Linked DNA regions of Oreochromis niloticus. The protein of the gene in region 4 purifies or fractionates together with the protein of the main gene of each other region. This does not show direct contact. Links are inferred from orthologs where the notes say so. Each region holds a gene or a part of one and is shown on either strand. Other genes may lie near its edges. The genes, in order: fgfr3, hif1aa, grb2b and hsp90ab1.

Region 1 (7,036 bases), on a different chromosome or scaffold from region 4:
TGTCAGCCTCATTTCGCTTTGAGGTGTGGGCGCCCATCGCAATTTGTGGTTACAAGGGAGTCGCTGCACGCATGCACTCGCATCGACTGTTTCCCTGTGTTCTTGGGTTTGGTCGCACAACCACTCGATTGCCAATAAGCTTGCTCTAAAAGATGCTGGGAAAAAACGCCATACTACCAATGCCCAAAATTATTTTGTGATCTAAAATAATTAGATCTATTTTTTAGATAGTATTAGTATTATATTGTTGCAGGTGAAACTAAACCATGGCAAAGCCCCATTGGTTGCACTGATTATGGTAAATAGCAAATAGGCTGTGCTTATCGTGAACGTGGCAAACCTGTTTGTTTTATTAGCCTGGAGTAATAGTCACCCATACTTCTTGAACTAATGTAAATGATGTAAATGCACCGACATGTGATTTTGCTGCAAGCTGTCCTGTTTGCACTGAGATCTGAGGAAGCAGAGCCTGATGACAAGCTGTCATGTTAGCAGCATAGCACCACTGTTTTCAATACACATAAATGGCCTCAAAAAACTTGGCACGGTTTGCAGCTAGTGATAAAACCGAAGTGAAAGCTACAAGTTCCAACAAGTCAAACAGATATCCAACAGTCGGGGCTGTGTATAAAATGTAAATAAAATTAGAAGCCAGTTTGTTTTACTGTATAACCTCGCTTCCAGATAATTGACCTTTTTGGATTGCGCCTACTTGGGCGCGCTTGTCTCTGGTTTCACATGCTTTGTGTCTGGGAACCTTTTCTCTCAGAATAAAACCGTTTTTTCTTGTTTCCAATCTCATCATTCATCTCACAGCCCCTGTGAGTCATATAGTGTCTCGCTGGAGTGGTCACAACCCCCTTGTTGAGATCCACTGATATACAGTATGTTAGCGTGTGACGACAGCAGTTGGTCACCAGCGTATGTGCAGGACCAAGAAAGCACCGCCGAGCGGAGTGCGAAGTGACCTCGGCGATCGACTCCCTCCCATTGTGCTGCATCTTTGTCTGGCCCGAAACTCCGGTGTTAATGATTAGCCCTGCTGCTTTTGTGCACCTCTTACAGACAAAGCCAGTGCGAGTCAATTGGTTGTTGCCCACACAGGCAGTGTGCTGCGACGAGGCCCAAAGAGAAAACAATCAGCGCTGCCGGCTACTCGGGGTTATCAGTGAAAATATGTGCCGTGATAAGCTGAAAAATGTAATGGGTGAAAAAGAAAAAAAGAGAAAAACACAGAATTTATTAAGGCTGTCAGTTTCTTCTGGGCATGCCAGTCTTTGGATAATCAAGTTAAACTCTAAGGACTCAGCGTTGTTGTTGTTGTTTAATTTTTAACTCCATTTCAAATGAAAAGGCCTCACCTTTCATCTCCTGCTGATCTATTCCCTCGAGGGGTGGGGGGGGCTGTAAGTGTCTGTATGTGTGTGTGTTTGGGTGGAGGGGGTGTATTATGTGTGTGAATACATATGTTTGTGTGAGTTCATTAGAAGTTAGAGTGTCGTGGGGGAGCTGGGAGGAGTTTTGTTTGTGTGTGTGTGTGTGTGTGTGTGTGTGCACGAAGAGGTCATTTGGTCAGTTTGCCCATCAGTACTTGAGCTGTCTGACTGAGCATTCTCACCATCTGTATGACCTCTCCTCCCGACCGACTGGCTTTTGTTCCCGAGCTTGCCTCCCTCCCACCGGCGTTTCTCACAGAACACTGTAGTACGAAGGGTCACCGGGACTGACCTTCATCATTAGTCTGCACTCTTCGTCTTCACCAACATTAATGAGGACCTCTTTGTTCTTTCACCATTTGACTTTCCCATGAGGTCGGGCACGGGTACAGTATCACCTGTATGCATGATGTATGTAGAAAAATACAAAATAAAGCTAAATTCTTGTATTTATTTACACCAATGAGCAAATATTGAAGCGCCCAAACATCTTTATCATACATGTAATTTAGATCCATGTCTAAAAACCTTTATTCATTCTCACATGCATGTCAGTTTGTGCACGTCTGACACATATTGTCACAAATCACTGCAGAGGAGCCCACCTCTGCTGAACAAATAGTGGCACACTCTCAACCTTCCTCGCAGCCACTTAGCAGAGGTCTGCTGCGCTTTATGGTGTCATAAAGTTGCCTTCTCAAAACACAGTTTAAGAGATGTCGGTAATTGGTGTGTTGTTTGACGCAGAGTCGGGTGCTATCGCCTCTGTCCTGACTGCAGTAATTAGCCAAAGGCTGCGGTATATGGCAGATTAAATGGGTGGTTAATGGTAATTTGCTCTTCACTCAGCACACTTTGGGGTCTGACTGGTCAAACATTTGCATTGGCTGGTCTCAATCTTGAATGACAGTTCTGACAGATTATTGCATGACTTACAGTTTCCACAGAGTCCAGAACAGTAAGCTGTAATTATTAGACAGCAATAAACCTACTTAAGGGAAAAATACATATTTAATAATGTTTAACAGTGGAAAATAGAGGTGGTACATTTTGAATCAGCAGATGCAAGACAAAGAGTTTAATTACACTACTTGATAACAGTGTCTCTGGTTTCACATACTTTGTGAAACTTCTTTTAAATTCTCAAAAATGTTTAAGCTTATGCCACCACCAGACTTCAGGATAATTGGGACACTGCCTGGCTCAGATCAGCAAAGCTTACTGAAAATGCATTGCTTTTGGCATGTATCCCTCAGCTTTAATGGTGTTTACGCAGAGCTACGCTGTATGCACCATGCACCCCGAAAACCACTGGCTGCAACATTCTTTGATATTGAGAATCATAGAGAACAGTCAGGGAGACGAGCAAAAGGAGTGATGGCAGCCATCAGTATTACTTAGGAGCTTTTTGAACACTGGCTACACCAGAAGCTCACAAAGGTGGGTGTTTTACGAGAGTGTGTTTTATTTCGTTTCCCACCTTTTTAAAAAATAAATGGTAAATAAGTTAAAAATGTTTTACAGTGGGGGTTTTCTCATATTTGCTATATTCAGGACTTCAGATGGACAAAATATAAATTCAACAAACTTCTGATCCAAAAACGTTTTTCTGGTATAACTTTTTTCAGTGAAAGGAACTGGTTGAGATCCCCCTCACTCTTATAGATAACTAAAAGTCTGCGGACACTGTATTCATTTCCATACAGCACGCTTGTCTTCATTACATCTCAGAGCCATCTACTGGTGCCTCTGTACCCACGCTGAGGGTCAGACAAAAAATTCGGGGCTCATAAAGCAGCTCAGGATTCTCAAGTTTGAAAGAAAGAGATGGGAGGCGCTTGGACCATCCATCACCGGCTGCCTCTAGCGGACCCCGGAGGGGCGGCGCGCCGAAATCTGATCGCCCTTCCCCCGCTGCTGCTGTTTGTCCCAGCGGCGCGCAGGCTGGCAGAGGGAGGCATCGTGGACTCAAGAGGAGAGATGAGCGTCACACAATGGTACACACGATGGTTCCGCCTTCAAAATAAAGGCCTAATGTGTAGTCTCCTTATTGAATAGGACTCTTTTTGATGACTCAATTGAGTCCGCCAGGCTGATTTAATTGAGTGCCGGTTTGCTGCTAACGGCAGCTAGCTGTGTTTCACTTATTTATCTCCTCAGCTGGCTCTGTTGGTATATCATTTTAACACATTTTAAATTGTAATTTACATATTTATTTATTGAAGAATGCATTCAGATTTTCATCAAACACACTGATTCACAACTTAACAACCCAAAGAGACGGTGAGATGACAGGATTTGAGCAATTAGGAAAAAATACGTTTAAAAAACAATAAATAATAAAGACTCTTATTTAAGTACACACAAGTACTGAAGCGCATGAAACGGTACGATATAACCATTGCTGCATCTCAGAGCTCCTTTGAAGATTGCTCATAGGCTGGCGAGTGCTTTTTTTTTCTTACCTTTCCTGCATTTTCATAATTGAATGAGTGCCTCCGAGCAAAGCATGCGTCATCGGATCCGAGCCAAGGATTTTATTTTGAAAGTGGACCTGGAACTCCTCGTGTTTCCCAGCCGTGCACGCTTGACGGCAGCACCTTGCAACTCCTACTTCACAGACAGCGAGAGGAGAAGAGCCACCACTCTACGTTGGTTGATCAGAAGCGACGAAACGCACCGAAACTGGCATCTGCGCCGGAGGAGACGCAAAGGAACCGCGCATCCCGCGTCCCCGTCTGCCTCGTCCACTCTGCCCACTCGCAGGACAGGATGAACGGACTTTGGAGGACTGGACACTTTGGACAACGCGGACAGCAGCGCGCGGCGGAGGACGGGATTTAGTGGAGAGAAGTTGGCTTTTCTCGGTGGCTGTGCCCGAGTCGAAGACACTCGCCTTCAAGTCGTGAGGGGGGGATTTGTGACTCTTTTTTTTCCGCTGTCGCCAAACTGCTCTCCAAGCGCTGGAACGTGAGGATTTAAAAGTAGTTTTGTGGGTTTTTTGTGAAGTTTACCGGAGATTAGAGGTTGTTTCAACCAAGGAAAGCTTGGTGCCATCTAAAATCTGAAGGCTGATCTTTTCTGTCAAAACGGGATACTGTGGGTAAATATTATAAACATTGTTATTATTATTATTATTATTATTATTATTATTATTATTATTTACAAGCAGGTTACGCAGACTCAGACACACAAGTCTCACAGCTTCACTTCCTTGTAGATGCGGACAGGTTGGAGCTTTGAGGACTGTGTACACTGTGTGAGTTGTGGAGCAGCCCCGCGGCTGTGCCACAGCACAGGTGGCGTGGAGGTCCCTGTTCGTGCGCAATTGGCGCGTCCTGGCCGGTGTCAGCAGACTTGGAGAAAATCAACAGTCAGTGCGCAAATCTATTGCCACGGGTTTGGAGCAGGAGCGCAAAGCGGTTTCTGTTATGGCTTGTAAAGGTTTGTGTGTGTTGCTGAAATTACGCACGCTGTAAGAAAAAAACAAGTGGAAAAAATACTGTAAAACATATTTGGGTTGGGAAACGTGTATGCTTTTTCCAGCAGTTGATTGAGTTTGGTTGATTTTTCAGTGAGGGGAAAAAAGTAATTTGCGCTAAAGCGTTCTCTCCACATCCAAAGTCATTCCCTTCATCCTTTCCAGTTTTTCAATATTTACAGAAAAATCCACGAATGAAGGAAACTGTGAAACTGAGTGTTTTAGAAAGAAAGAGGCCAAATTAAATCACGCACAAGGGGGGGGGTTTGTGGTGATACCTGCCAGATTTCGTTTGAGGTGAGCTCGCTCTTCATTCAGAATGAATCGAACCTGTCCTGGTTTTATGTTGTTGTTGTTTTTTTTAAATAAATAAATGAATAAAAAATCCAGCCATCCCCGTGCTCGTTAGGATGGGCACGCCGTTTCTCCTCACCGCAGTACTGACGTCTTCTCAGGTTTGGCGCTGAAATATGAATTGCACATCTCTTTCACAGAGCCGCACTCCCTCAAATCCTCTGATCATCTCTGAAGTTAGAAAGCGGCGGATTGTCCCCCCTCCTCTCCCTCTCAGTGAATGAACTGTGCGCGGTTCTCTCCCCTCAGCAGCAGATCACTCATCCCCTCTTCAAACACATGCGCATCAATGGGATTCAGATGGTGATTTTCTTCTTCTTCTTCTCCTCCTTTTTGGCCACTCAGCTCGGCTTTGACTCCCACCATGTCAACTCCCAACCCGAAGAAAATTAGCAGATTATAGCGTCCTGCGAGAGAGACGCTGAAAATGAGATTTGGGCTCTGTTGCTTTAGCTTATTAAAAAAAAAAAAAAAAATTGCTGTCATAAACAAGCGTGCGACCGATAATAGTTGTGCTAATGCTCCAAATTAATTGTATCTATTGACCCGAGAAATAATGCGTGCCAGTGTGCAGCTTTTTCAATCAGAGGCGAGCCTCAGACACTTTCGGTTCCAAATGAGACTCTGATTGCCTCTTTTCATTAGTGAAATTGGCCCGAGACCATCGCTCTGCTCCTGTTTTAGTGCCTTTACGTTTTCCTTCTCGTTCATAAAGAGAAGGGTTCATTAATCTGCTTCAGCTTGTCTAATTTGACAGAGAAAAATGATCATTACTTTCATGCACAAACACTTATTTGCTTTCATATTCCAGCTATTCAAAGAAAATAAACTTATGTGACCTTATCTGAGCTTTACACTATACCTCTGATATAAAATTTGTGCCTATATATGTAAGGACTTCTAGTCTTTCTGTTCCCCTGTAATTAGGATTCTCACATGTCTGAGGCAGTAAAAGCTGAGTTTATACCAACCTTAGTACGATTTATAACATTTTAATGTCCCCCAGTGTCTGCTAGCAGCACTTCATGTAGTCTTTATAATTTCAAAAGGGACTTCGCTGTCCATCTGTATCTTCTGCTTTAACACAGAGGACAAAACCCTGGCGTTCGGATCTTTTTCCATGTGCAGGCTGAGTCTCAGACGAGACGCCGCCCGTCTGAGTGTCAGCCCAAGGTGAGCTGAGCCCAGAGTCACCCCTGAACCTCTGACAGCTCTGAAGTGCCGAGCTCTCCTCTGCCTCTCAGCTGATCAATATCTCTTCTCACCTGAGGGCTCGTTCGAGCGAGCGCTCTGAAGAGAGGGTGGCTCAGCTATGAAGGCAGGCAAGAAGTCGCGAAGGGACAGGCAGAAGGGAGATGGTGGGTGTGAGACATGCATTGCACTGCAAAGGAAAAAAGTTGGAGTAGAGAAAGGCGTGCTGAAAAGGAAGATGACCCACTTGTGTGTCTCTTTATTACCCATCTAACCTCCACTTGGCTCCACTCTCCAAAAAAACCCTCTAATGTCCTTTTTTCCCCCCCAAGAACACAAAGCTGATTATCCGACTTAATTATTAAAGATTGCTGACACTCCATGGAGGTGTGACTAGCATGTGACTTCCTCGCGTCGCTCCTCACTGAGGATAGAGGGATGACAGGGATTTGAACCCGGGTTGAAGCGCTTTTCCGCCCCTGAGCTATTACAATGTGAAGATAGTCCTGCATGATTAATGCTCATGCATTATTCATTGCCGTAGTTGTGTTTCCCTGCCACGCTTTAAGAAAAT
Region 2 (7,938 bases), on a different chromosome or scaffold from region 4:
GATCCATTGTTTATACAACAGTTCACAACACAACCCCAGCAGGGGCTTTCCTCTACTTTTCTGTAAAGTGCTTTTTTTGCTTTAAGAAAATCAGTCATCACAATTAAAGCTTTGAGGGCCTGAAGTGAATGTTTATTCAAATGTTGGATAAATGTGAGCCTTCAGCACACATTTTTTGACTTATTTGGAAAAACCAAAACAAAAAAGTCCATAAAAAACAAAAACAAACACACCCCCTATGCTTCATATTATCAAGTAACCCAATTTCTCTTTCAAGTTCAGACTAGCCTGCTACTTGAATCCCTCAAGGGAACCAGGAAATTACAAGCTAGCGAATTGTTACACACACACACACACACACACACACACACACAGACATTTGGCCACTCCTATTGACGTCAAGCCCTAGTGATTAAGAGATGAGACAGAAGTAATACTACAAAGGCACCTCACAGACACCAGCCAGATCTGCATCAAACCAGACTGCACACTGGAATTTTTTTTCAACACATTTTAATCTACATGTCAGCCTTTCACCTAAACTCCAAATTAGGTGACAATAAACAAAGCCCCTGAATGCAATCTACACTAAAATATGGTGACTGCCTGGAAATGGAGTATTCATTTGTTAAAAATATCTACAGGGTGACCAGTGTCACAGTTACTTTCCTTATGTAACTACGCAGGTAACAGATAAACACAACAGTCATGATAAGATCTCAACAACAGCCCGGTGCACCTTTTAGGATGTTCAATTAAACCAGTTTGCACCCATGTTGAGTTGCCAATGTTTCAAAAATGTCGTTCTGACAAATGTTTCACCAACCGTTTTTAGAGATCCTCCCACCATATTTTGCATCATTACACATAACAAGTTTTCCTTAAAGACAACTGCATATACACATGGCAAGCTTTTCTGAAAACAGTGTTATTCTTACTATTTTGCCATCAGCCTACCTGCAGGTTGTTTTCACTTTCATGACTTTCACCATCTTATGACCACCTTTTTTGGTGTTTTTTTGTGTTTTTAATCTGAGGATTCACTCTGTTCATCAGACTATTTTTTGGTCTCGTGACTGCTGTTACCATTATAACCATCTTTTATCCTCTGTTTGTTTTGTAGTCTAATCTAAGCTTTATACACAGAAGCATAATCTCATCACCTGTCTGCCTATTTTAGAACATCCAAGAATGACAGAAAGGCCCAGATGAATAATCCGCTTGCTGCAGAGTGGAGGCAAGTTATCCTCTTCTACAGTCAATACTAATAACCACTTTTTCACTCAAGCACAGCAATAAAACCCATGAAAATCTGCTACATATTGCAGTAGTCTTGCTGGATTAATCCCTGTGCAGTTGAGTTGTATTACAGTTGTACACATTTTATTTGTTGTGGGAAAGTAATGGTTACAGTGGCTAAATGTTAAGGATTTCCTACATTTAATAATAAAGGTTCTAGCCACCAGACCTGTGACAGAAATGTGTTAACCACTTTTAAGTAAGGTTTACTTAAAAATAATACCAACCTTAAATATTAGGTGTTATTATTTTATTTTGACTGATTGTTTGTTTTTGTATGCACTGACTTCTGAAAAGTAAGGTGACAGACTGTTTAATAATGTGCTTCTCACCCAGAAAGGCCCGTTTGGGGCTGGAAAATCCTCGTTTTCCATCACACACACCTTTGGGCTCTGATAACTTGTAATAGCCATACTTATTTGTTTTTTTGTATTTTACCTAAACATTAATGAATTAGTTATTTTTTAAGATACAACTCAACTTATTTATGTCAAAATGGTTTATCAACTTTCTCTTGTTCTAGCACACAGACCTCCAAATGAAGACTTATTATCAATTGGGCTTCTGTAAAAATAAAAGTTACTAGCCACTAACATGATATTATGGCACTCTGATGATTATTAAAGTTGATCACTCTGGTGGGGGTGGTGGATTTTGTGCAATTGATATTGCTCAGTATTGAGGGGGTACAGTATATTCTACAAGGCTTTCCAAAATAAGATAATTATGCCTTCTTCTGGTTTTATAGTTAACCACAAATCCATACGCAGAAATCTCATACCAAGGCCTGCTCCCAAAAAAAGCCTCAACGTTACAGCAGAAACCGCACACCACACTGATCACATGAGCGCTGGCAGCCTTTCACTGAAGTGTCAAGGTTGGCACCTAAAGTCCAAACAGTACACCACCAGTGATACACTATTAATAAGCTATATAATAAGCAAAGTGTCACACTCAAAACAAATGTAAATAACGCTCATGTTGCATGCAGGAAGTCTTAACAATGGTCACAAACAAAAACGTTGCTGGCTAAGTAGCACTTACTTAACGTAACGTAAGTAAGTAAAAAAATACTAAGTCTAGATTGATGTAAAGGGTAGTGACCAGTTGATGCTGTTTACCTGTTAACTCAACATTTTTTGACAAAGTTTTTATTAGGTTGACCTACATTTTGCAGGCTAGCGGCGTTAGCCGCTTGCTAACAGCGCCGCTAGCCGACACATTTTGACGAAACACACCAAACTAGCCTTTAACCTTGAAAAAAAGGCCACAGTGTCGCAGGTCTCACAATAACCAAACGCTAAATAGAGACACATATTTTCCAGTTATGCTTAAAAACTGGGCCCATACGTAGCATTAGCCGGCACTGCTCTTACCTTTTCTTTTCGGGTACAGTTCCTGTGTCCATTTCAGGACGAAAAGACCTGTGTGGAGTCTCTCTATCGGTATAGAGCTGTGTTCGGGCCCGTCGAGAAATGAACCAAAATCCCACGATTTTCTACCGATATCAGTCCGTAAATCCTCAAGTGGATTGCATAAGAGTCCTCTCTTTGTGGATTTAGTTCAACAAATCAAACTCTCGACCGCTAAAAGCAGATCCTCCGTCGACTTTGCTTCTGAAATATTGCCACGCTGGAGAGACGTTCAATTGCCGAGACAATGTTGCTTCAGAGTAGAGGTGTTCACTCCTCCTCCGTTCCGGGGACGCGCAGTCACACGCTTCTTTTTTTTTTTTCATCGAGGACGCGCACAGGAAATCGTCCCACCGACAAACGACAGATTGCTGTAATGTTAAAGAAGAGCCTACAACAGCGAGACAAACAGCGTCTGTTAATAGCTAAATATCACTCTGCGGTAAATAAACACATGTAATAAAATAAAACAGCACTGTTTTAAATGGTGTTAAATGTAGAGTTCTTTACAAAAGCTGTTCATAAACAGTCATAGTGAGTTATACCACAAATAGTGTCACAGCATTGTATTTAAGCCTAAACAATAATATTATTATGCAACAGTATTTTTATATGCAGTTACATTTCATTAAAGGCTTTTTAGCACCCAACAAAGGACTGACATTAACAAAAATCATCAGTGTTGTAACATTTTTTTTGTTTTATAATATTCGAGTTTCTTTATTCAAACAAAAAACTGATCAGAATCACTGCTTTATTGTGCGTTGATAATAAGTTTACTGTCGTGTCGCCCCTTGAGTCTGAGCCAGGAAAAATTCTGAAATGTTATTAGACTTTATAAGTTAAAAAGTTCAAGGGCAGATGAGGATTTCTTTGGTCCTGGAGGCGGGCTTGGTAAATTTCCTCCACTGCTCTGGATATTTCTGTCCAATCAGACTTCTCCTCCTTCACCACTGTGGAATTCATTTTATAATAATTATCGAAATCTGTGATTCAGTTTTACTTTGGAAAAGAAAAATGACAGTAAAAGAAAAGCAAAAGGGGGAAACTATGTATGAAAAAACGTTTTGGTTAACTGTAAATAACTGGACTGAAAAATAACTAAAATAATATTGTGTACTTAGAAAAGCTAACATAACAATATAATAATATCCATTATTACACAACATAATAATGCAACATAATATAATGCACACCAAATGGCTTTCACTTTAGTCTTTTCACATTGCTACAACACTGTATGTACCAATAAAATACAAATATATTTACTGAGTCTGTATTTTTTACTTTATGGCTTGTTAGTTACCTCAATTACCACAATGTGTTATGATCCTTTTGTAGCACAGTACAGTGTAAAAGCCTTGAGTCATCTCTCATGTCTTTATATTTTGTTTCCAAGGAGACAGACTTTCTTGTAAATTTTAATGTGGTCTTGAGCAATAGCTCTCCAGGCTTTGTGAAGGTCTTTCCAAGGTTCTCTTTGGACATTGGCTGCTTTTTTTACTCATTGACAATCCAATTCCTATACCTGACCGAATTGTTTTCAAATTTCAAATTTTTATATTGTTTTGTTACTATCAGCCTGTAACAAAAACATGTTTTTTAGTTATATTTAAAGATTGAGCTGTTAAAAATGCCAAAAATAACGCAGTTTGATGGGCACCAAAGCGGTGATTTCCAAAGAACTATTTGCTGAAAACTTGGTATATCATAGCAACAATATCTGAAAGTCGTGTCTTTAAGAAATAGGAAAAATTCAGCAAAGACCTGACACAGGACCTACAGAGGATTATCTGACTCCTCAGTTGAGTCATGTACTGTTCACTGAAGCCTCATCAGAAATGGTCTCAGTGGAAGGGTAGCTATCAAGAAGCCATTGTTAAGGAAGAGAAATAGGGAGAAAACGCTGAGATGTGCCAAATTACATCAGTTGTAACAGGTTGTATGCAATGATGAATTGAAGATTAACATTTTTGGTCCAAAAACCAACATTTTTGGTTCAAATGATCATTAGTTTGTACGGAGAAGGTCAGGAGAGATCTACAACAGTGAGTGTCTGCATCCATCTTTTTGAACAGTCCTCTATACCAACGGTTCACTCCTAAGATTGTGTTTAACAAATACTATCCATATTATAATAAATAATAATAAAACACATATAATGAAAATGGTAGATATTTTTAAAAATAAAAACTCAGCTGAAACCAGAAAAATCACCTCTGAAAATAACTTAAATTACAGCAAAAACTAACTAAACTAAACTAATGAACTCGCAGACTAACGATTCTGTTCTCAACCTCTAAATCACAGAAAAAGTTAGTCGCAGGTTAGTTTATTCTTTCCTGTGTTGCCTTACATGTTGATAGTTGCATCTGGTCACGATAGTTAGACAAAGCCTTTGCTGTCACTTCTCGTTAGATGAAGGGTGTGTGGCACAACGCCCCTGAATTGAACTTTATCTTGACGGTTCATATTGATTTCATCGAACAAACCTGGGAGGGTTACATTTTTATTTATTACACAAGGCAAAAAAGGCAAAAAAAAGGCAAAAGTGTGGAAATTGAAGTTAAATCCTGATAAAATCCTTTATTACTAGACCTAGAAACTAGAGAGACCTGAGGAAATTAGTTAAAAGTAATGCGTGCATGTCCACATAGGATTAATTGTGTGTGTGTGTGTGTTTTATATGCCTATTGCGTCTTTTAGATGTAAATCAGATGGATTTTTTTTATAACATAGCTGTGCAATATGTGCTTCGGCAACACTAACCGAGCTTACAGGTTTATTTTGCCTAACTCGTAATGCTGCTATTCGATTTGAAAGTCAACAATGACCTTTCACTTTAAAATTCACTTAGCTGTTGGAGATCCTGCTTACTTATCTCCACACTGTAATTAACATTATGATATCGGGAAGTTGAGAGGTGGTGTTAGCCACACCTTTTTTGTTGTACACTTGAGCATAAAATGTGCCAACAAACAATGCAAGATTAGCCTTTCGTAATGCGTTTAGTGCGAGCAACAAAACTAAGACATTTATATAAGAATGCATTAAGGAAATACTGCTGTGTGATAACAGCATTAACACAGCTCTGAAAGAGAAATGTTGAAATGCAAAAGGAAGATTGCATTGTCATTGTTATAAAAGACACCATCTGATAAGAAGCAGTTTCCTGAACAGATGTCTGAATGACTTTAAGTAAATTCTAAGAGTTTATGAGTCATGATCTTATATTAACTATAGGTCAGAGTGAATATGAGGCCATTTCCTATTCATTTACTGACAAAAATGAAGCTACTGATTTATAGATTTCTATAGGGAATTACTTATGTGACGTCTGTGCAGAGAGACTTTTTTTCCATTATCGGTCGCTGCTTTGGGGGGTTACCAATCAAACGCACAGGACAGCAGGGTCAAACACTTATTCAATCAGTCATTGCAGAGACACTGCTGGCAGCTATCAGGAAGTCTCAGTAATGAACGCTGAAGGAAAGCTCGTAAATCTCTCCTTCACTGAGACACTACCGGGGGAAAGCTGCCAAACTGAGGCACAACAAAGGATAAACAAAAAGCAAAGTTTTTTAATCCACTGTCCTATGCTTTATATAGCACATCTCGACCATCGTTGTTAGGGAAAGCTTAATGTAGATTAGTGGGCTGCTGTAAAGTCCACATCAAGGCTCTTCTAAATAATGAGTGATCAGAGGCTTAACAGGGGTTTGAACCGCAACAGGAAGAGATTTGTGACACACCACTGGCTCAAATGTATAGACAAGCAACAAGTTGTGCTGGACCAGGAAAGTTTTCAGTGCAGTTTAGTAGCTAAAACGCCATCATTTTACCAAAAGATCTTCCTGCATTTGGTGTTTTAGTGATGGTGGTGGAGAGTGGGGCAGAATTGTCACCATAGCTATTTCTTTGGGTTGAGATGGGTTGCTATGGAGGCCATACTCATGTAAGCCTCCAGTCCCTCATCATGCCACACGGATGGAGCTATTTTCATCATGCACAACTACTCCAATATGTTTCATCAAAGGGTAGAGGTAATCACTCATAGAAATTTGTTTTCATTTCATGGTGTTGCTTCCCTCAGAGGGGGGAACTGGACTGAAACCGCATCACCATAGCAGGTTCAAGCAGGTTCCTTAGCTCAAAAGGTTTGTTCTGTGCTCGGAAAGCATAGGAGGCTTCATTTTGAGGCATTTCCGAGTATTAAGCTGCTAATGTGCAGTATTTAGAGACAGAATCTTCCACAGGACACCCAGCTGAAGAGATAAACAGATGTCGAGACCCAAACTTCCTCATTCAAACTAACAGGAAGACTGTGCAAGTTCCGGAGGAAAGAGATTCATCTCAACACAAGGTTTTCTTTTCTTTTTTGTCATTTTGTTTAAGTTTTTGCTTTTATTTCCAACATCATGCAGTATACAATACTGCATTTATATATGAACTCAATGTCACCCCCCTGAAAAATAAGCATCACTTATTGTTTCTTCCTTTTTCTAGCAGAGGCGACAGTAGTGACGCTGTGTGGTTTCCTGTTTATTCTCTGCTGGTTTGACAAAATACACCGCTGAAGGCCCTCCACTAGATGCACTGCACAGAACTGCAGGGTTTAACTTTCAAGACTTTTGTGTTTTTCTTATATTTTTTATGGATAAGAATAAACAAACAAAGAACAAAAACAAAACTTGAATTCACTTAACCAAGCAGGTCTGCAGAAAGTGCTGGAAGCTTTCAAAGACTCTGGCAGTTAAACAATATACTAAGAGTGTTGTGAAATCTACAGACTTTTCAGTATTTCACAGTTACCATGAATCATCGAGCTGCTTTCACCTCACATGAAATCTTGCATCATCGTCTACATGCCTGGCAGAGCAATTTACATGGAGAATCACTGCGACGGATGCCAAGTTTTTCTTACTGGGTGCGGGCCACAAATAAAAAACACACATACTCTATTATTGGGAATTGAGTTCAGTGAAATTCGATCCTTTAACCCAATTTCAACCGTTATCTCTTTTCGAAACCGATATACTGACGATATTCAGGCTTCAGGTGATTTTAACCCTTTATTTAACAGTGGACGGAGCAGCTCACTATTTTGAGTTTCTGTGTGAATTTGTGTTTTTTCCAGAGTGGAGACGCATCACTCAGAAACTATTCCAACTGTGCATGAAATCATTCCAGGATTTGTGTAACTTTTCTGGGAATCTCCAGCAGATTT
Region 3 (7,137 bases), on a different chromosome or scaffold from region 4:
GAATCTTGAAGAAGACACTGCAGATGACCACTAAAGGGAGAGCAAAGCCCAAGAAGAACTGGTACAGGGTGAACCAGTATGTATCTGTGGCCGGGTTTGGGAGCAGGAGGGCGCAGCCGACCGAGCCGTCCTTGAGACGCATGAGTCCAGTGTACATCCAGACAGGAGTGATGGAGACCAGAGAAAACACCCACACCAGCGCCACTGCCGCCCCTGCCACGAAGGGGGTTCGAACGTGTTTGAAGCGGATGGGGTGGACTGTTGCCAAGTAGCGGTCCAGTGTCATGACAGTCAGGATGTACGTGCTGACGATCTGGCTGTTGGAATCAAGCGCCGTGATGACGGTGCACATGGTGCCACCGAAGCACCAGGAGCCATTGCCCACGAGCTGGTGAATGAGAAAAGGCATGCCAAGGAGAAAGAGGAGGTCTGCGATGGACAAGCTGAAGATAAATATGTCTGGCACTGATGGATGACAGCAGAACTTGGTCTTTTTCACAATGGTGTAAATGAGAATGCAGTTCCCAGTGATCCCAAAGAAACAAATAACACCAAAGATGCTGGGCATGAGCACATTGTTGTACTGCTCATGATCTGGTAGAAGGGAAAAAACATAATGTTCTCCATCAGCTTTCTTTCCTTATAACTTTTTTTTCATTCATTTGTTTTCAAAGTCTCAATAACTACTTTTTACATGAAAATGAACAACATAATATTCAATCTATGATGATAAATCTGCATGCATGTGCCCAATTCAACAGAAAAACGAGAAGAAGAAAATCCTACCTTTTTCCAGATTGTCAGGTGAGCTGAGGTATGAAGAAGATGAATTCATAATGTAGTCCTCCATCCAACCTCGAAGAATAATACGAATATACTCTAAAATAACTTATATATCAGTTTAAGGCAAAGAAGACAGATGAGCTTGAGAAAAAATGCATATTTTAAATATACATATACATACAAAAATACAGCTTACACTGTTGCTTTATGGCTTTGATAGCAGAGGTTCAGCCGCGCGCGCATGTTTTTGTTGTCCAAGACACTTCAGCAGGGCACGCGACAAATAAAATGCGCGCGCTCGCTTCAGCTCTGAGTCTGATATTTGGCAACAGCGAGATAAAGTACTCCGCAACTCGGAGACGCTCAAAAATCATCATTCTTATTTCTAATTTTGTGTCGTCACCCACTGAACAGCTGTGAGCTATACTCTCCGCCGCCAGTGTGAGTAATACTGGAAGTCATTCTTGAGTGAATACCTAATGGGCGATTTCCTCGCTTCATTCCACCTTATTTTCTTTTAAAAAGCGTTAGCCGTCCGACCACATAGCTTTATCATTCACAATGCCGTTATGATGGAGGTCACACGATAGGTTATCAGTTATAAACAGTCTAATTAATTGTCTAACTGAACAGTGTCACTCTCCATATTGTTTGCTGTGTAATATTTGGAAAAGATACGCGCATTTCTTATCTCAACTGTGCGGTATTAACATGTGACTAAGTATTTCTGGTAGCAACCCTTACGTGGTTAAAGACAGAAAGAACCGATTTTTGTTTAGTCCCACTAGGTGGCAGCATTGTCAAAGCCTGCTGTCACAGGCCAGGATTAAAAGCAGATGTGCAAGAAATGAAAACAGGAAAACAGAAGACCAAATATTCCAGCAGTTAGCTAAGTAAAGCTTTATGAGATGGCCTTTATGAGAAGCCATATGGATCCTTGAACATAATATTGAGAAAGTTGCATTCCTGCGTTCTCTAATGTGTCCCTTTCTCTTGTTTTTGTATATATAAATATTGAGTGTATATATTTCTCCTTTTAGCTATTGGGGCACAGTTGGTTTGGAGCACCCACAATTTCGTTGTACATGGACAATGACAATAAAGGGCTATTCTATTCTATTCTGTTCTATTCTATAGTAGTAGAATAGTCCAACTGTGTTTTGTCTAATTAATTACACTGCGGCTAAAATGGATGAATCTGTGTCCTTCATTTCCCATTTCAGACTAAATCAGATGGACATAAATGCATCTAAGTGAGAAATGTGTTATGTATGTGACTATAGTTAACAGTCATAGTAGTTAATTGTAGTTTGTAGGATAATGATAGATATGGGTGACAGTTTTGTGGCCGACTGCAGACAAGGGAATGAACTAGGGTGTGGCGTTGGTAAATGTTTAGTTTACAATGAACTGGTCATGTTCACTTCTCTCCCTTTACATATTTGGCGGTCCTTTTGTCTTGTCAGCTATGGTGTTGACATTCGGTTAGGGGGTTTAAAGTAAACTAGAAGATGACCAACCTACAAAGTTAAGTCAGGACACACAGCTGAAAAACTCAATAAGAGTCTGTGAATGAATTAATGCATAGCCATCCTGCAGCTTGCCTGTGACTGAAAGAGAGACTCAAGACCTGTGCTTTAGAAAAGGATCGGGGCCTAAATGAGACAACATCACAAGTTTTCAGGGCCATAAAGGTTATTCACTCATTGGAGCAGGTTATTTTCAAGATAACAGATCAACACTTACAAATCCAAAGCCTACTGACCAATCAGGTCTCTCTGAAAACACTGTAGTTATTCCCAGAAGAGCCCACAGATCAATGAGTTGTCAATGAGATGGTCTCAAATTTCTAGCTTTCCATTAGGATCAATAATAAGGGACTTTATCACTTGTTTTATTTTTTTGCTTCCTCCAAGCCCTTTATAGCCATTTCAACTCTACATGAGAGTCCTAAAGTATTGCAGGCTCGTTGACCTTATATGCCTTCTATTCACCACAATTATGATTTTTTTTGGCATCTCACGACCATTAGACACCACAGGATTTTAGCTGAAAGAATACGGATAAACATATTGTGCACACGACATGATGATGATGATGATAAATCTTTATCCGATTTTGGGAGTATTCTTTTGTTACACAACTGAAATGATGAATAATAATATATTAATGATGGTGATAATATTATCTGGCAGGTGCCTCTCTGTCAGATATATTGTGATAGCATGTGGCAGTGGAGCTGAATCAGTGTTAGAGAAGGTGGTCATCGTTTTTGCTGCATACACTGAAGGATTTCAGCTTCTTCGGGAAAGAGCCATCTCATCCTCTTCTTTTATACGGCTTCTTTGTTTCATCTTCCTATTTAGTCTGTTGTCAATGTGGATGCCCAGGTACTTTTAGTCCTCCACCACATCAACATTCATGTAACCATCCTCTTCTTTCTGAAGTCGATCACCTGTCTGGTCTTATTACCACTTACTACCACTTCATATCATCCTATAGTACTCTATACTCCTCTTCCGCCTGCCCATCACTAATACACCCAACCAGAATCAGATTATTGTCATCAGATTATTTCTATAAGTGCCATGACCTGCAGTTGTACTGAACGTCTGTGTACAAACTACACAGAAATGGGGACAGCAGACTCTCCTGTAGAGCTACTATACCTTCACCAAATCAGACAAAGCCCTGCCTAATCTCACAAACTGCAGCCTGGCTATCAGGTAGTCAGATGGATTACTTGTGGACAAGTTTACTCACATTTCCTATAGCTTTTCTTTCAGTAGCAGCGGCTAAATCCATTAAGTCTGATCTGTTCACAGGTAGTGATGTTAGTGATAGTACTGGCTTGCACAGTTGTCATCTTTTGCCAGCTTTCCTTCCTTTGGTTGCAGCTGAGTTTCTTTCTTTCAGCTCGGATTACATATTTTATTTCCTCTTTTTCTCTCCATGTTATAGTTTGTTCTTCTTTTGAGGATTATGAAAGCAGTTTGGTTCTGACCATGCTGTGGTGTCACTGCCTCTTGGATAACCTTTCAGAGTGCCGTTTTCACGTGATCAGATGGTGTAATTGCTGACGTTAGGTTTAGTTAAGCCAGATTATTTAAAAGTTATCTTGGCTAAATTGATCTCAGTGCCTTAGTCACGTGGTATAAATAGATGGTATTTAGCTGTTGATTAAAAAAAGAAACTGAACGATTTAGAGTGAGTGAATCTTAACAACTAATATGTCTCTGTGAAAAGTAATTTTCCTTAACACTGAAAAAGACTAGCAGGGAGGAGCTTACTTACACGGAGGCAGATCCTCCCAGTTCTTTGGAAGGAAGCGGAAATGAGCGTCATAAACCTTATGCTAGTGGCTAGTTTTTTAGGCTTCTAGGACGGGTGTAAGCGACACCACACGTACCTTGCTGGTTGCCTCTAGAGGAAGCAGGGAGTGGATAATTACACGACAGAGTTTTGCTGGTTTTTTATACAGTGGCACTATCGAAACGGAATATCTAAAGTGGTGAGTTTTCAGTACTCGTTGTGTCGGCACAAAAGTTGTGTACTGTTTTATTTGCTAACGCTGTTTTAGTGAAGTTCAGTAACGTTAGCTGGGCTAGCAGTAGCAATAACAGCTTGCGCTATGTTTAAAAAAAAAAAAAAAAAAAAAAAAAAAAAAAGCTGTTTTCTTCCTTTTCACATTTGCTAGCGTGAAACTAGCAACTAGGCCTCGGGTGCTAAGAAACACCCCACACTTATTTCAGACCAGCCACCAGCTTTAATTGATGTCGATGTCAGATGGTCCGGTGTGGAAGAATTGAGGTTCGGGTTTGATAACCATACTGCATCGCAGTTATTGTTGTCCGACCGTTAGCCGGCATGCTAGCTGTAGCGTTCTAGAACAGTGGGCGCAGTCTGTTGGCTGGAACGGAATCGATTCACTCGAGCCCGACTAAAAAAAAAGCAAAAAGCTGTATAAAACCATGCTCTGTTGCTCTTCATGCCCTTTTTGAAATGAAAAAATTCCACATAATTTTCACACTAATATGTGCGTGTGAGAAGGTTGTCATGTTTAAGGTTAGCTACAGTTTATATCTGCCTTTGGACTTCAAGCTTCCCTTTTTAATACTAAGCCTAATGCCACCTCTGACAGCGACGAGCCCTTTTGTTCTTTTGTTTTCAGTAACGCTGACTGGCAAATGAGTTGTTTGGCGTTTTGTTATTGTAAAAAGACACAAACGAAAGCGAATGTAGTAACGTTTTGGACTTGACGAGTCGGTGACGGCAATTCGTTTTCTCTAGAAAAATATGTCGTGTGTCGTTTGTTATTGCCTAACAATTAGGTTCTCAGAAATGAAAAGGAAATGCAGATTTTCAAAAGAGGAAAAAAGGATTTTTCATCCGTTTGGTGTTTCTCTGTGGTCATCTGGTGGGCTGTCAGGTTTAAAGGCCTTATTAGACGCACGGTTGTATTAGCGAAAGCCCATCAGGGCTGTACGGTAGCATATTAGCAGCAACTTAATTGGATAGCGTAACTTTATCTGTTTAACTAAATAGCCGTAGGTAGGTTTAGCCAGCGTATCACTGTCATCTCTGCTTAAGTAACCACCGTCTTATCTTTGATCGGGCCAGGTGGTTGGCTGTCTGGATGGGCTGTTGAAATTGACACTCGATGGAGTGAACTTTGTTCCCTTATCCTCTGATAATTTCTGGTTAGAGGTTTGCCACTGGTCATGAAATTGTGCTGTATTTTAGAGGCTGTTCAGAGGTCAAAGGGGATAAAGTTGAATCGTATGGCCAGTATGCATTTTTAGTGAAAATTTAAAGACTAAAAATGCAAAACAGACAATTTTAATTTTGCTTCTTGGTTTAACATTTGCCTGTCTACAGTTTTAGTTTTTCACGTTAGGTTTTTTGGTTTGTTTGTTTTGCAGGTACCTTTCTGCCACCTTTATGTGAGGTCTCAAACCTAAGGGAACGGGTCATTGACGGGAGGAGAGACGCAGAGAAAGCATTTGATCACAGAAGCCTGGATACGTGTTTTTAGTTTTTTTTCCCCCTCTTCAGTCACTGAAACGGCTGCAGATAAGCAGTTTTACAGCACGCTATAAGGACCATGGAGGCCATTGCCAAATACGATTTCAAAGCTACTGCTGATGATGAGCTTAGTTTCAAGCGTGGAGATGTCCTCAAGGTAAGTGACAAGTATTTGAGCATTAAATGTTCAAATTTGTCTGTTTTGCTCATAATTATGAAACTTTGGAAGGCGTATTCTTGCCCTAAGGTTTTGTTTTTATCCATTACTGGCACTGTTGAGTAAAAGTGCCATTAAAGTTAAATCTAGGCAGTAGTGGGCTATTATAGAAGGAAACAAAATCTAACACATCAGGTAGTTTGGGATGTAGCTCAATATCCAAAGTTCACCACTATCATGTGATTATATGCTTGGTAATTACATTTGATGGCATAACCTTTATGCTTAAATGTTTCTGCTATTTTTAAAATCATGAATTATTCAATTAAATTTACTTCTGTTGCACCAAATCACAACAACAGTTGCTTTAAGGCACTTTATATTGTAAGGTTAGAGCCCTCTAATGGTAGAGAAAACGCCAACAAAGAGACAATTATTGTAAATAGACATCATCAATGTGACTTTTGAGAAGTCACAATAAGAGATGAAAGCTGTAAAGGTTTCTTTTATGGACTAGTAATATAAACCTGTGGTCAAGTCTTCCTCATCACAGTAAATTGCTTTTATGGGCAAGGTCTGCTTTGCTTTGTGATATAGGTGGATGGAAATTAGGGGCAATAACATGCAACATGCCAAATTTTGTAGTTTACTTTTGGGGGTTGGGGGGGTTGTTTTTGTTTGAGGTTTTTTTTTTATTTTGTTTTTTTTATCATTTAGTTTTACTTTGCAGTCAGCTTTGGCGGACGAGTTGACGGTTCTGTCAGGGGAATGGGTGCTGTTTTCCCTGAAAAAGAGATTTGAGCAGAGAGTCTTGAAAAGACTTCTTATCACAGCAGGAGGGGGGAGGCCTAGAGGGAGAGAGAAAGTCGGATTAGGAAACACTGAGCTAAATATAAATTCTATTAAATTTGCATATGAGACGAGGAATTACTGAACTTTTTCACTAATTTCTACTGCTGGCTGTCTTGTCAAGCTTTTCACCAGATGGCTGAGTTCCATCCAAGAAATTAGTAGGAAATGTCTTTTTTTATTTTTTCTTTCAATTTACATAATTAAACATTAAATACATGCATTAGTGACTGGGAACGTCATGTACTTCTATAAAAGACACTTAGAAAAATCGAACACATACGGCAACATTTTATTTGGGGGGGGTTTTGTTTTTTCTTCTT
Region 4 (6,844 bases):
GCTCCTTGTACTCACAGAAACCAAAAGCTGGAACAAATATTGACATATAAATAGACATAAGGGCATGATCAAATGTTTATGTTTATAGACTGAATTAATGGTTTGCCATGTATCTAGTTATTCTTCATCTTTTAATACCCATATACTGACTAAATAATACCCACTTTGGATTATTAGAAATTACCTTGAAGCTTGCCAGAGGCTCCTTGTACTCTCTTCCAGCTCAAAAACAATTCCACATTTCTATAGAATTACAAAGAAAAAAAATAAAGTTGTCAAATTAAGAGGGTGTCTGCCTTTGCTGGTGTATTTCTACAAGTAGAATGTGTGTTCCCCTCTTACCGCCAGCAGCTGTCTGATCAACATGTCTGAAGCCTTTTCTGATATGTTCCCTACAAACACCGTTGTGGTGGGGCCACTGTTCTCATCACTGTCTTTGGCATTCACAGCAATGGTTTCCCTCTTAGGGACTGCAGGCTTGCTGAGCACTGGTACTGAAGGAACCATTACTGCAGGTGTGGGGGCCATGATACCCATGTGAACTGGGATCATAGGGGCTCCTGAAACAGCCAAAGAAAACATGCAACAAGCAATTACACCATTTTCACTTAAGATCTATGACTGCAGATTAGTAAAACGATTCTCAAATATTTTCAGTAATGTAGCGAATCTCAACTACCTTCAGTGTTGCGAATATGCCTCTTAATAATGACATTGTGGCAAAACTGAAACAAAACAGGTGAACGCCAATCAGAAGGGTGCTTACCTGGGGGAAAGCCTGTGTACTGAGGAGGGATGCCTGGAGGAGGCAACAGCGGCCGATTTAAATGAGGGGGGAAGGACATTGTGGAAGTGAAGTGGACCGACCTGAAGAAGGAACCAAGATACCCGTTATCAGCAGCACCAGATGTGTAATTAAATCAAGTCCTCTAAACAATGTAAAATAAAACAAAGAGCCAAACTTTTAAAACGATTAGTTTAAATCAACAACACTATAAGAGAAAGCACAACGATGTTTATTGGTATCTAGTCATATGAATGTAAAGTACCCGTCGGTGACTTCTGCTGCCCAGCAGCAACAATACTTAAACTTAGCTTAGCTCAATGGGATGGCGTTCGCAGGGTGACTATTATAAAGTCCCAGGACCCACGTATTGTTATTGTGTTACAACGAGTTAATTTGCTCACTGTTTATGCGGCCAAAAAACTAGCAGCTTAGTTAGCTAAAGCTAGCACCGAGCACGCTCCAGTGTCCCCGGCATAGACTTAAGCTAAGCTAATATTAGCGCAACCTGGCGTTACTTAACAAACAACACTCAACTATTAGCGGGCAAAGTTAAAGTTCAAGATAAATCTACACATGCCCAGGTATACATACCTTTAATCAGGTGGTGTTTAAAAGAATAAAAATACTCTCAGAAGGTTAGTAATTATGAAAATTCCTCTAACGTTCCAAATGTTGGATTAGCACGTTGGCTAGTCGGGCCTTCAAAAAAAAAAAAAAAACATTTGACGCAAGCGCTTTACGCGCAACACTACATGAGCGCTGGCTTTGTACACCAAGACCTGACCACTGGACGGAGTTTACTAACGATACTAGTAGCTACTGCGGCAATAACTGTACTACTATTATTACTAGAGTCGTTAGAGTATAGTTTTATACTAGTATTGTAATATTAACATCAATAAGAAAAATCACTACTCTTATTATTATTAATATTTACATAGCATTCCTAAAGGTCGTCTAGAAGGTTAATGAAACATAAGGTTAGGGAGCGTTTGTCGATGTTGAAGGTTTGCTGGGTTAAAAATGGATTTCAACACTATAATACAACTCCTGCACTTGTATGTACTACTTTGGGGAAATTTTAAGACATCGTCAATTTAGATTTTTATTTTTATTGAATTACATTAATATGTAATTCAAAGACGTAGTCTATTATTTGTGCATAGGAGTTCCTCCATAATGTCTTTTACGAATAAAATAATAATTTTGACATCCGACAGAATAAATATCTGAAGATCAATTATTTATTTATTGCATAAGCAGCGTTTTGTTTTTGATGGGTTTTTTGTTTGTTTGTCTTGTTTTGTATTTTGTCGGTGCCTCTCGGAGACAGCGGCTGTTACGTGAAGACTGCGACTGACATCGCGTGACGTCACTTTAGGCGGGATTTTCATGGAAAGTGCTAGAAGAAACGAAGCACACCCTGCATGTTTTTGAATATTCCTCCATCAGATTAAAAAGATCTAAAGTCTTTGTTGGTCTGTCGGAAAATTAACGGTATACTCGTGAGTTTTATTGACTTTATTTGTTAGACTGATTTAAATTATGCTTTGATAGCATATCGCGGCAGCTCTGGAAACTAGTATAAAATAGATCGATTCGGACAATACTTTCGTTTTTGGTTTTAACGGCCACAAGATGGCAGCAATGATGCGCTTGTCTCAGAAATAAAACTGTAATACTGTGTTTTCCAGGAGATTAGTATAAAGTAGTATAAAGTGTTTTTGAATTCACTTTACTAATTAATCTTGAAAAAGTCCCCTTGTTTTTGTATACCTAATATAATGGCTTTAAATCTCCAGAGATTTGTTTTCTTTAGTACACATTACACTTCAATCCACTGAATTAATACCTGCTAAAATGTCTTAATAATATCATATTTATTTATTTAGTTATGGTATTTCCTCAAGTCTTCATTCAAACTCATCACATGGTGAATGTAGCCTTAAAACATTAACTGTAATTCACTTGGTGCACTTCTCCTTACTAGATGGCGCACCGCGGATGGATACGACTGCACAGTGAAGCACGTGTATAAAGATACCGGTCTATTAAAAGGAGGTCCCTTTCCATTTCTCTGCGTCAGACAGCGTAAGGGATAGCGATTTGGTTGCATTTTATTCAAGAAAAGTCAACGAAATTAACAAGGTATGTAGACGAGCGGTTTCTTGTTGGTTACTACGTGCTTTAGCCTTTGATATTTGACCTTTTATTAAACAGTCATTATACAGTACAGCTCGTATTCTCACGAGTTACGGTTGTAACCTTAAGTAACTTTGGTCAGGTACAGCTAACATATCACAGTAGTATTCAGAATTTTGGTTTTTAATTACTGTGGAGTAAGAAATGTTTGCACTTGTCACGTAGACGTCGAGCGGTGTAAATGCTGCACTCTGCCGCACTGCCCCAGCCGTGTGTAGTACCAAGGCAGGTGTGGCGAACATGACAGCGCTGTATCGGTTCATAAATTGTACGACTGGTCCACATTAACAGAATTAATCCTTTTAAATCTTTATAAGAGTAACGTGAACTGGCTTGAGTCGATTTCGCTTAGTCCCCGTGTTCACGTAGCTGTCGCGTGTCTATAAAACGCACGAGTTAGTCTCTCAAGTTGCCAATGCTTTCAGATTTATGCTCGTCTTAAGTGAGTGGTGTTTTTAGCTCTTATTTATTCGAATTGGTGGCAGAGCCGTTTTATATGACAGTCACGTTTGCTGTCGTTAATACACGGCTTTAAGTTGCTCTTCTGGGTGAACCTATTTTGCCGCATTGCATAAGCTTTTTTTCGTTATTTTCATCGGTAGCTTTTCCTTAGCACGTGTTTGCGGGGTCCATTGTCTGTCGCTCGACGCCATGTTGGTTAACGGCCACTTCCGCAACATGACGGCAGTTATCCATATTATGTAACCGACTTCTGACAGGATCAAACGGTGATACAGTTTGCGAAACTGAAAGTAGTTGAATATATGTAGTTTAACCGGATCCCATAATTAGCCTTATCCTGTTTTTATCGAAATCCACCCATTTTATTAAAGCATACACAAACTGTTTTAATGCAGATGCCTGAAGAAATGCACCAAGAAGAGGAGGCTGAGACCTTTGCCTTCCAGGCTGAGATCGCTCAGCTGATGTCGCTGATCATCAACACCTTTTATTCCAACAAAGAGATCTTTCTCAGGGAGTTGATTTCCAACGCTTCTGATGTAAGTTAGCAGGAGCAGAGCTTTTCATTCAGCACTGATGCATTTATTTTTAGCCATTTTTTTGTGTTTCTAAATGCTTAAAAGAATGTTAGTTTTAATCCTGTTGTTTAAACATTTGCAGGCTCTGGACAAAATCCGCTATGAAAGCCTGACTGATCCCTCCAAGCTCGACAGTGGCAAGGATCTGAAAATTGACATCATTCCCAATAAGGCTGAACGCACCCTGACCTTGGTCGATACTGGAATCGGTATGACCAAAGCCGACCTCATTAACAACCTGGGTACCATTGCAAAGTCTGGTACCAAGGCCTTCATGGAGGCCCTGCAGGTATGAAGGGAATGCATCTCAGTATGGAACCGTAGGGACGCTTTATAAGAGGAAAGCATTTTCCATGTTCACAATTAAGCTGAAATCTAACATTAGAACTCACTGTGTTCCTCTAGGCTGGTGCTGACATCTCCATGATTGGTCAGTTTGGTGTGGGTTTTTACTCTGCCTACCTTGTTGCTGAGAAAGTGGTTGTCATCACAAAGCACAATGATGATGAGCAGTATGCCTGGGAGTCCTCTGCTGGAGGTTCTTTCACAGTCAAGGTTGACAACAGTAAGTGTATTGATGTTACAATATCAGAACTAAACCCGTTTTTAAATATTGTGGGTACATCTAAGGATGTCCCTGATTTCTCATGAATTGGAAGCAGTTCTTACTATTAATGGTCTTGATGTTGTTAATTGTGTATTGGTTTTCATGTGTCTGAGGTTACGATGTAGCTTTAAAGTATTAAGAGAGTTGTTTTCAATCTTGGCGTTAAAGTTGGCATCGTCTAGCAAAGTGCGCTCCTTTAGAGGCTTAAATATGGATTTGAAGTATCTAAAAATTGAATCTTGACTCCATGGACACTTTAGTACAAAATGTCCTAAAAGCATCACAACTGTTCACAGGTGAGCCCATTGGCCGTGGAACAAAGATCATCCTGTACCTGAAGGAGGATCAGACAGAGTACGTCGAGGAGAAGAGGGTCAAGGAGATCGTGAAGAAGCACTCTCAGTTCATTGGCTACCCAATCACCCTCTTTGTAAGTGACTCTTATAGAGGACGTTGTTAGTATACCATTAAAGAACGGCAAAGTAAAAATCAAAGTAATGTGAATCTGCAGGTGGAGAAGGAGCGCGACAAGGAGGTCAGTGACGACGAGGCAGAGGAGGAAAAGGCAGAAAAGGAGGAGAAAGAGGAAGGTGAGGACAAGCCAAAGATCGAGGATGTTGGCTCAGATGATGAGGAGGACTCCAAAGACAAGGACAAGAAGAAGAAAAAGAAGATCAAGGAGAAGTACATCGACCAGGAGGAGCTGAACAAGACCAAGCCCATCTGGACCAGGAATCCTGACGACATCACAAACGAAGAGTACGGCGAGTTCTACAAGAGTCTGACCAACGACTGGGAGGATCACCTGGCTGTTAAGGTAAGCAGGTTAACCTGAACAGCTCTTCCAGGTTTTAATTGGCCTACTGGGTTTTTAACGTAGTCATAAACTACAAATAAAGCTAAACGGAGTCATTTTCCTCTACAGCACTTCTCAGTGGAAGGCCAGCTGGAGTTCCGTGCCTTGCTCTTTATCCCCCGCCGCGCACCTTTTGACCTCTTTGAGAACAAGAAAAAGAAGAATAACATCAAGCTCTACGTCAGGAGAGTCTTCATCATGGACAACTGTGAAGAGCTCATCCCCGAGTATCTGAGTAAGATGACTTGCTTTTTACCTTTAGTCTGAAAGTACTTTAATTTACAGCTTAGCACACAGTAAGGAATTGCTTAAAGGCAAAGGCTTAGTGTAGCATTTATGTTATTCCAGACTTTATCCGTGGTGTTGTGGACTCCGAGGACCTGCCCCTGAACATCTCCAGAGAAATGCTGCAGCAGAGCAAGATCCTGAAGGTCATTCGTAAAAACATTGTCAAGAAATGTCTTGAGCTTTTTGCTGAACTGGGTGAGGATAAAGAAAACTACAAGAAGTTCTACGAAGCCTTCTCAAAGAACCTCAAGGTATTTATAATATTCTGGCTACTTTTCTTTTTTTTGTGTCTTTAGGAAAGTTGGCTCTTAAAATTCTCTTCATTTCATGTCAGTGCATCTTCTTGGACCTCAAAGGTTTACCTCTTTATTCTTTAATCTGGTTTGTAAAGCCCTCTTCAAAGTAGTGTAGACTTTTTTGTGTGTGTGTGTGTGTGTAATAACCAGATCTTTAAAACCCAGAAGAATAGCTGTTTTGGCATTTATGTAATCCCATGCAGTCAAATCTGCATTAGGAATAGAAACTTCCCACATTTAGGCTGTAGACTGAAAACATGTTAATTAAAAGCCTAAAGTGACAAACTATGTAGCAGAATTCATGCAGTGTGCAATGTCAGTGTGATTAGAATAGTGACATTGCTGGCAGTCCATCCCACCTGACCATACACAGGTGGGATTGACTTTTTATTTGAATCCATTAACCCTACTGGTGTATGAGATTGTTTTTGGATAAGATGATAAATCTTATTTGTTCACTTGTAGCTGGGTGTGCACGAGGACTCGCAAAACCGCAAGAAGCTGTCTGAGCTGCTGCGTTACCACAGCTCCCAGTCCGGTGACGAGACCACCTCCCTCTCGGAGTACGTGACCCGCATGAAGGAAAACCAGAAATCCATCTATTACATTACTGGTGAGTAAAATAAACCTTAAGTAGCTTCTGAAATGGTAGAAGAGAACTGCATTTACACAAGTATTAAAAATGAAGTTTTATTCAAACTTTATCGCTTTTTTGTCATTTGTAGGTGAGAGCAAGGATCAGGTGGCCAACTCTGCCTTTGTTGAACG

Evidence for each region.
Region 1: the proteins of hsp90ab1 (region 4) and fgfr3 purify together in Homo sapiens (affinity purification with mass spectrometry; 3 studies listed by BioGRID and IntAct, with this or other methods). This does not show direct contact. The link is inferred for Oreochromis niloticus from reciprocal best matches to the Homo sapiens genes HSP90AB1 and FGFR3.
Region 2: the proteins of hsp90ab1 (region 4) and hif1aa purify together in Homo sapiens (affinity purification with western blotting; 3 studies listed by BioGRID). This does not show direct contact. The link is inferred for Oreochromis niloticus from reciprocal best matches to the Homo sapiens genes HSP90AB1 and HIF1A.
Region 3: the proteins of hsp90ab1 (region 4) and grb2b purify together in Homo sapiens (affinity purification with mass spectrometry; 3 studies listed by BioGRID and IntAct, with this or other methods). This does not show direct contact. The link is inferred for Oreochromis niloticus from reciprocal best matches to the Homo sapiens genes HSP90AB1 and GRB2.

Annotation. Positions count from the first base shown.
Region 1 is NC_031983.2:7,173,662-7,180,697, reverse strand, and holds the start of fgfr3 (fibroblast growth factor receptor 3), read left to right. Parts: upstream 1-4,031; 5' UTR 4,032-4,539; intron 4,540-4,656; exon of another isoform or gene 4,657-4,880; intron 4,881-7,036.
Region 2 is NC_031983.2:11,962,807-11,970,744, reverse strand, and holds the start of hif1aa (hypoxia inducible factor 1 subunit alpha a), read right to left. Parts: upstream 3,004-7,938; 5' UTR 2,708-3,003; coding exon 2,676-2,707; intron 1-2,675.
Region 3 is NC_031969.2:8,811,525-8,818,661, forward strand, and holds the start of grb2b (growth factor receptor-bound protein 2b), read left to right. Parts: upstream 1-4,122; 5' UTR 4,123-4,294; intron 4,295-5,705; 5' UTR 5,706-5,887; coding exon 5,888-5,965; intron 5,966-7,137. Other genes in the region: mchr1b (melanin-concentrating hormone receptor 1), read right to left, coding at 1-594, 787-850. UniProt on the Homo sapiens protein: Non-enzymatic adapter protein that plays a pivotal role in precisely regulated signaling cascades from cell surface receptors to cellular responses, including signaling transduction and gene expression.
Region 4 is NC_031980.2:14,202,387-14,209,230, reverse strand, and holds the start of hsp90ab1 (heat shock protein HSP 90-beta), read left to right. Parts: upstream 1-3,840; coding exon 3,841-3,990; intron 3,991-4,111; coding exon 4,112-4,318; intron 4,319-4,434; coding exon 4,435-4,594; intron 4,595-4,932; coding exon 4,933-5,066; intron 5,067-5,147; coding exon 5,148-5,453; intron 5,454-5,561; coding exon 5,562-5,727; intron 5,728-5,840; coding exon 5,841-6,031; intron 6,032-6,541; coding exon 6,542-6,689; intron 6,690-6,801; coding exon 6,802-6,844. UniProt on the Homo sapiens protein: Molecular chaperone that promotes the maturation, structural maintenance and proper regulation of specific target proteins involved for instance in cell cycle control and signal transduction. Undergoes a functional cycle linked to its ATPase activity.